Solanum lycopersicum: one gene and its partner. The protein of the gene in region 1 binds, or shares a complex with, the protein of each later gene. Links are inferred from orthologs where the notes say so. Each region holds a gene or a part of one and is shown on either strand. Other genes may lie near its edges.

Region 1 (3,823 bases):
AAATATTATATGCATTTTCTTTATCAATGAAGCTTCCTCTCTTCATTTTTCCAAATCGTATTTCTACATTAACACCTAGCTTCCTAGCATTAATTTTTACTTGTGTCACTTAGATTAATACAACTACTTGAATCTTTAATCATCTACATCAGTTAAAATTATCTAGCTTAAGCACTTAAATCCCACCTAGTTTGAATTTGTAGGGAACCTAGTTGTGAACCTTGTATGATGCCTATTACTTTTCTTTTGAGGTGATTTGAACTCTTAATGATCTCAGGTTGTGGAGACTAGTAAATTGAATTATTTGCAATTAGTTGTAGTAATAGGTTCCCTAATGCGCAAGAGGGGTGTTGGAATGAAGTGGATTGAGAACCCTAAGGTCGTTGCTTCAAATCCCAGTAGAGACAAAAAATAAGGTGATTTCATCCCATTTGTGGACGTTACCTAGTACCTCTTGGTAAGAGGTACATGTATCCCATGGAATTAATTGGCCCGGACACCACAATTATATTAAAAAAATTAGGGTGTTCTAACACACCTTAACCCAGTAGGTGATAACTCTTCTCTTTAGCTCATTAAAAGAGTTGTCACATGTTGAAGCCCGCTTTTGCGAGAAAATGGGGCGTGACACACTTAGGGGGAAAAGTGAAGCATAGAAATAGCAAAGGACTAGGTACATATTGGAAAATAGTGCATGTAGTAAGGATGTGTAATGCAAGGAACTCAGAACACCTACATACAGTATCTTGTACTAATACTGAGTTTGTACAATTAGTTTCTCAAGTATCTGGTTATCTTATTAAGAGTTGGTATTATATCTAACAGGGAAATGAACACGGAAGAAAAAAGATTTAATCAAGAAGAGGAGGATGAGGAAGAAAATGGGAGAGGTCGAGAAGCATGGGAAAGAACTTATGCAGATGAAAGATCATGGGAGTCTTTACAAGAGGATGAATCAGGACTCCTTCGTCCAATTGACAACAAAACTCTATCCCATGCTCAGTATCGACGACGTCTCCGCACTGCAACTGCTGCACGAATTCAGAAGGGTTTGATTCGGTACCTCTACATTATCATTGATTTCTCCAGGGTATGTAAAATCCTGTATGATTGCAAAATAACTGCAGTATTGTAATTGGTTACTGACATTTAAAGGTTAATTTTTTTTTTTTTTTGCAAAATATGAAACAATTATTTAAGCATCTATAGTTATCTGTTTGTAAATGAGTTATCTCCGGAAGAAGTTAATCAGGTCCAATTTCCCAGACAATCTGCTGATCTTCTTCTGATGCTAGCAAATTGTTTCTTATGAAGGAACACAACAGGGTCCTTTTTAAAGAACCAGCAGCTCTTTGTTTTATGGATTTCTATTTGCATCTAGGGCTGAAGATTTAGTGATTGCAACTGGTTGATTATGCTATAAGATATTGATAAAACTAAGCAATTGGGTCGTCTTCGATCAGTTTAATGAATATTCAAGTGTATACCTACTTTCTGTTTTGATGTCACCATATTTCTTTAAACCACGTTTTGAAATTCTAAAATTGTGAATTGAGTTTATAAGACAATTATTGCATTTTGAAAATGTCCCTTAATTGGGTTGTGCTTATCACTGCATTGGACGTTTTCTTTTATCATTGACAAGGTGCTTTAACAGACAATCTTAAACATTTGCATGTAAGCCTCTGGCTGATAGTTCTCCTTTCAAGATGTCAGCATCCTTTTCCGTGACATTTTCCTAGTTTTCTTTTTTTCGCATTGCTCGAAAGTTTTTGTGAGCATTGGTTGCATCTACTTGATACTTTTCCTACATGCTTATATTCCGCAACACCCACGCCAACTTGGAAAGCTAGAAGAAAAATCAAAATGCTTTGAATACTAGAAATCTCGACATAATAGTAGAGACTTTTAGCGTTCATTTCAATTAAGTCTGGATGACTTTAAAAATGACTTTTTGAAAGAGAGAGAGAGACAGTAATGTCTCATAATATCTTGGACTTTTACATCTTTTGAGTTTGTAATTGCTCACCTGAATTTTGAATTTTAGGCAGCTGCAGAAATGGATTATAAACCAAGCCGAATGGTTGTAGTTGCTAGACAAGTGGAGGCTTATATAAGAGAATTTTTTGACCAGAATCCCCTGAGTCAAATTGGCTTGGTGATCTTGAAAGATGGAGTAGCTCATTGCTTAACAGATCTTGGTGGCAGTCCCGAGGCTCATATCAAGGCATTGATGGGTAAATTGGGGACCTCTGGTGATGCATCCCTTCAGAATGGCCTAGATCTTGTGTGTGATCTCCTAAATCAAATCCCATCGTATGGTCATCGTGAAGCCCTTATCTTGTATTCAGCTCTTAGCACATGTGATCCGGGGGATATACTGGAAACCATCCAAAAATGCAAAGCGTCCAAGATAAGGTGCTCAGTAATTGGTCTCTCTGCAGAACTCTACATATGCAAGCATCTCTGCCAAGAGACTGGTGGAATGTATTTTGTTGCATTGGATGAGGTAAGGAATTGAGCTCTGAAGTAGTGGTAATACCAGAACTTGTGAAACAAAAACTAATAGAATAAGGAAATCTTTTGCTGGAAATTTAGGATAAATTTGGTTCTAATAGCCTACTATGTAAAATGTCTCATTGAATGATATGATTAATAATATGTGGCAAGCATAATATTGTTAAAACGTTTTATGATTTGATTCGTTGTTATTGCTCTGTCAGCCTCATTTAAAAGAGTTGGTATTGGAGCATGCCCCACCTCCTCCAGCTATTGCAGAGTTCGCTGTTGCAAATTTGATTAAGATGGGGTTCCCCCAAAGAACAGCAGAGGGTGTCATTTCAATTTGTTCATGTCATAAAGAGGCTAAAGTTGGTGGTGGATACACTTGTCCGAGATGCAAAGCGCGCATATGTGAGCTGCCTACTGAGTGTTGCATTTGCGGACTGACCCTTGTATCTTCTCCACATTTGGCAAGGTCATATCACCATCTCTTCCCAATAAGGCCATTTGATGACGTTTCACCCTCAGCTCTGAAAGATTTTCACAAGTTACCAAAGAATTGCTTTGGTTGCCAACTGAGTCTTCTAAATCCTGGTAAGAGCACTCTTCTTATTTACAAAATCGAAACTATCTTGAGGTAAAATATTTATGCCGAAAAACAAGGAAATCTGTCTTATTTTTTTACTCTTCAAGATTATTCTATAAATAACCACTGAAGTGAATCTGCGATCCAATGAAGCACTTGGTCACACAATATATTTGTAAAAACGACTTGCAATTTTTTGGTTCAGAATTGAAACTTCCAGTGGTAAAAAAGATTCATGCCAAAATGATGGAATATGTCTCTCTGTTTGCTGTCAAGACTGCATCGTAAGTAACCTTTAGAGTGAATCTGGGACCCAAAGAAGCACCTGAGCTGGTATTCCTTATCAAAATAAATAAATAAAAATGGAACACCTGAGATTTGCATTTTCTTTTGAAACTGGTAACATTGTATTCCTCAGCATCCTTAATGCTGGCCATCAGTTTTGCAGATATTATCATTATCTATGTATATGCTAGGATGTTCGATAATTTGATAATTTTCAAGTAGAGTAGTTTATCAGATTAACCGTGGGTACATAACCCTGACCTGAAGCATCTGCTGTTGCTAAGGATGTCAATGAAGTTCCTTTCTTTCTTTTTTTTTTTTGAATTGGTAAAAGTTGTGTTCATCAGCATTCAGGGCTATGCTGGCCTCCTCCAAAATTTACAAAAGAGTCATGGATAGTTACAAGAAATAATATAAAATCCACTAATTGGATTTCTTCTATATTCTGTT
Region 2 (4,378 bases), on another chromosome or scaffold:
ATATATATTTATCTTGAAGGCAGTTAGAAATTATAAACTTTTGATGCATTGCCTCCTTATACTTAGAGCCACAGTAAGTATAATGCTGAATAGAGTACTATCATCCACAGAGGAAAATAACCATATACAGGTAAAGTGCAAGAAAAGCTAGCTTTGAATACATTAGCTTTAAGTCTCTTTTTGATACATATAGAATGAGAGAAAAAGAACAAATTTTTTTTTCAAAATAGCAAGAACTATGTGCCTACAAATGTTGAGTTCTTGGTGTATCAAACAAGTAAATTGTAATAATCCAAAATCAGTGAGAGAATTAATGTATTCCCTGAATGTGAGAAGGAACTTTCTTGGTGCTCTGAACAACAAAATTCCAACTCACTTACCAGAAAGAAAAAAAAAGCAAGAACAGTGTATAAAACATAAAAAGAACCTTTTTTTAAGCTAATATTTGTATATACAAGAGCCACAAACAAAAATCTATAAACCCATGAGACAGAAATCAAAGCTCTGAGAGGAAAAACCTGTTGGAGGCCGCCACCCAGTTTAATCGTTTGGTTAGTCATGCTGGAAAGATCTAAAACAACATCACCAGGAACCTAATCAAAACCAAAAATACAATCTTTTTTGCATCAAACAATTTATACACTATAATCTGGCACAAGAAATCGAAAAAAAAAAAGTTTGTACTTACTACTGGTTTATCAATGAAGCAAGGTTTCGAACCCATTGTATTGTGTTTTTCTTGATTGAACAGAGTGTTTGTGTAAAGTCTTGGGGTTTATGTCTCAACAATGTTAAAGATTGCTAACCTAGCACCCCTTTGTTATCAACATAAATAGTTTTTATACAAAGTTATATTTTTTAAAAAATAAGGAACGAAGAAACTTCTAATTTGGGTTAGAGGAAAATAAAAAAAAATTATATTTTTTACGCAAATTATATAATGTCAATAGCTAATTATATTTCATTCTTACTATATTCAAATTACTAAAATTCCCTAAGTATAGTGGAATCCGAATACATTCCAAAGCATTTCGATACATCGTATCTATGTTTCAGATATGTTGCATCTCGATTATCTGATACATTGCTCACATCCTCATATATCACGCAAAGTGATTTATTCGACTAGTTATAATTTTTTCAAATAGTAAAAGTTTTAAATAATGTGATAAAATAAGTTGTGTATTTAATTTTCCTAAAAATAATAAGTACTCCTAGGTAGGGAAAATTAAAATAGAGAATTAAAAATAAAGGGATTTTTTTTTAAAAAAATAAAAATAATAATTTGGATTTTAGGGGAAAATTAAAATAAGAAATAATAAAGTAAAAAGTTTGGGTTTAGGGAAAATTAAAATAATATGTAAAAAAAATTGACAGCTGTGGGATTTGAACCCACGCCCTTTCGGACCAGAGCCTAAATCTGGCGCCTTAGACCACTCGGCCAAACTGTCTTTTTGTTATGATAACGATGTTTTTTTTTATTAACAATTAATTATCGAAGTCTTTTTCTGTTATGATTCAATAAAAATAAGCATTATATAAGTAAAAAGGCAAAGCCCGACAGTATATTGCATCGGCGACGCTCTCTACACCTGACCGGTGAATTAAGGTTTATTCCACCGGCGGCCATGACACCGGTTTCATCAAAGCTTTACGCAGGTCTGTCTCCTTCTCTGTCTGTGTAGCTGAAGTATGCAATAAGTACATGTTAGTGGAATAAGAGGAAAATGTGTTAAAATTAATCTCTTTTGAATACTTTCAGACGATGTGAGCCTATTGATGGTTCTGGTTGATACAAATCCCTACTTCTGGAGCTCAATGAAGAACACTGCCTTCACATTCCCTAAATTCATATCACACGTAAAGACCCCTAAAACCCAAAATTTGTTTTTTTTTTTAAAAAAAAATGAATAGTTTTGTGTTCTCCATTTGTTGAATTTTGATGCTGGAATGTATGGGGGAAATGCAGGTTCTTGCTTTCTTGAATTCGATACTTTTACTGAATCAGATGAACCAAGTAGTTGTGATTGCAACTGGGTACAATTCATGTGATTATGTATTCGATTCGTCTACCTCGTCAATGCAAAGAGCTGAGTGTTTGTTGGAGAAACTGGAGGATTTTGTGGATAAAGATGAGTCCTTGAGTCAAGAAGACTCTGTTGATGGAGTTGGGTTTTCGCTGCTTTCTGGTGCACTTTCTATGGCTTTGTGCTGTATCCTCAATCAGTTCATGTCTGTTGGTTTTTTTTATATTCTTATTGAAGTGAAATTTTAATGATTTTTATTGAGATGCAGAACCAAAATTTGGACTTGCTAGGTTTATTCTTTGAAGCTCTTAGCACTGAATTTATTGACTGTTGAAATTCTAGATACGAAATCTAATCTTTTTGGTTAGATTTTAGTTTTTCTTACTTGTGTATTCATGTTCCGTATTTGAAAATACTGAGTTTGGTTGAACCCGTAGCTATTAGCTATATCTGCCACTGGTTTTTATTTGTTATTGTGCATAGCTTTGCATTCACGTTTGTTTAGAGGAAGTGTTTCTCTTGACCTGTGTGCACTGTTAGACATTCAACGGGTATTTCGTTCAGGGCCTCTTCATCCACAACCTCGGGTAAGTTCCTTATTTTACAAGAAACTGAAAATGGGTTCTTCTGGGATTTTGAATTGATGGAATTTGTTATGAGAATTTCTACTTGTATTATTTTGTTTATCCAGTTACATTTATAGATTTTATGCTTATGTGAAATTTTCCTGGTCGATCCATTTGGGATCGTAAGCTTTAGCATTTACAAGCATAACATGTTATTATGCCAAATACCTTATCCATGGAAATATCTCTCGTCCAAGGGGAAAAAGAACTTCGAGTTTTTTCCAGTGATTTCTTTGGCCTTTTACGTTTCATGTTAATTCTGATAGTGTTTCTTAACCCCAAAGGTGCATTTAAGGGGGTTTGGTGAGGTAATACTTTAAGTTATTCTATGTTTTATGTACCTTAAACAAAACCATCAATTAAACTTCAATGTGCCCTGATTTATTTGTACTGCAATTTTTATCCAATGGTATAGTGAAACTACCATTCCCATCCTTATCAAGAAAAGAAAAAACTAGCATTCCCGATGAAATGCCATTTCTGGTCCCATTTCATTGGCAATTTCTTAATGTGATATTATCAGATATTACTACATCATTTTTGTGTTTGTTAATTTGATCATTTATCAGTAAGGTAGTTGTTAGGAAAAAAAAATCTGTCTTCTCTTGTTTTATACTTTAAAATTTGATCCGTTTTTGTTATGTTGGATATGAATATTGATGCTAAGAAAATGTGCTTGAAATTATGGCAGATATTGTGTCTGCATGGATCTCCAGATGGGCCGGGACAGTATGTTGGATCTTCACAGCTTCTACAATCTTCTCATTGTTAGGTTCTCTGCTGAAACATGTTCTTTTTTTGCAGATATGTTGCAGTCATGAATTCAATTTTCTCAGCTCAACGTTCAATGGTATATAGGATTTAACAATTCTTTCCTTCAATTTTCCTTCTTGATTAATTAGAAAGTTGTCACATGTCTTCATAAATGTAGAATTTTCAAAATTAGGGATCGGGACTTAGATTTCCATATTGTGATCCTACTCTAAGAAATGCAATGCGTTTTTATTGCAGGTACCCATTGATTCATGTGTAATAGGATCTCAGCATTCTGCTTTTCTTCAGCAGGTAGCATTTCTATACCTGAAAGTTCTGGTTGAAAATCTATTCCTTCTCAGCATGAGTTATTTTCTGGCTCACTGATCTTATGGTGCATATCTATCTGGGAACAGGCTTCTTACATAACTGGTGGTGTATATTTGAAACCCCAAGTATCAGATGGACTGTTTCAATATCTCTCTGTAAGTGTTATTAAAATTATTAATACTAAGTTGTCTCTCTTTGTCAAAAAAAATACTAAGTTGTCTCTAGCTTAGCATTTTAACTTGTCAATAGCATGGATCCAACATTGAACATCTACGGTTGTCTCCAGTGCTGCCTTCAGACATTAGTTTCTATCTGATGTGTAAGCATGTTGAACAAGTCACTATACTTTGATTTGTTTAGTGTATGCAATTTTTGTTTCCAAGGAGCTTACACTAAAAAGACCTTCCAAAAGTTTGACCTATTTTAAATCTGGTATTAAATATTTAATATATGTACTACTATTGTTGGTGTTGGAGATACAGTGATCAACCAAAAGGCTATGACTGAAAGTACCAATGTACTCTTTGTGGACTTAGAAAATCTTCTCCAAATGTCTTCTGGACTGCCGCAGTCCGATGGCTTCTCCTTTTGCCCTCTATAGTGAACTTCTCATGCTTTGTCTCTGTGAGTAGGAGATAATAA

What was found.
Region 2: general transcription factor IIH subunit 2 (region 1) and general transcription and DNA repair factor IIH subunit TFB4 share a complex: the UniProt entries of both Arabidopsis thaliana proteins name them as parts of the 7-subunit TFIIH core complex. The link is inferred for Solanum lycopersicum from reciprocal best matches to the Arabidopsis thaliana genes GTF2H2 and AT1G18340.

Annotation. Positions count from the first base shown.
Region 1 is NC_090803.1:54,338,865-54,342,687, reverse strand, and holds part of general transcription factor IIH subunit 2, read left to right. Parts: intron 1-825; 5' UTR 826-829; coding exon 830-1,090; intron 1,091-2,047; coding exon 2,048-2,509; intron 2,510-2,723; coding exon 2,724-3,096; intron 3,097-3,823. UniProt on the Arabidopsis thaliana protein: Component of the general transcription and DNA repair factor IIH (TFIIH) core complex, which is involved in general and transcription-coupled nucleotide excision repair (NER) of damaged DNA and, when complexed to CAK, in RNA transcription by RNA polymerase II.
Region 2 is NC_090805.1:46,431,598-46,435,975, reverse strand, and holds the start of general transcription and DNA repair factor IIH subunit TFB4, read left to right. Parts: upstream 1-1,544; 5' UTR 1,545-1,628; coding exon 1,629-1,659; intron 1,660-1,762; coding exon 1,763-1,860; intron 1,861-1,969; coding exon 1,970-2,213; intron 2,214-2,567; coding exon 2,568-2,614; intron 2,615-3,344; coding exon 3,345-3,382; intron 3,383-3,457; coding exon 3,458-3,503; intron 3,504-3,664; coding exon 3,665-3,718; intron 3,719-3,822; coding exon 3,823-3,891; intron 3,892-4,378. Other genes in the region: uncharacterized protein, read right to left, coding at 519-593, 689-724. UniProt on the Arabidopsis thaliana protein: Component of the general transcription and DNA repair factor IIH (TFIIH) core complex, which is involved in general and transcription-coupled nucleotide excision repair (NER) of damaged DNA and, when complexed to CAK, in RNA transcription by RNA polymerase II.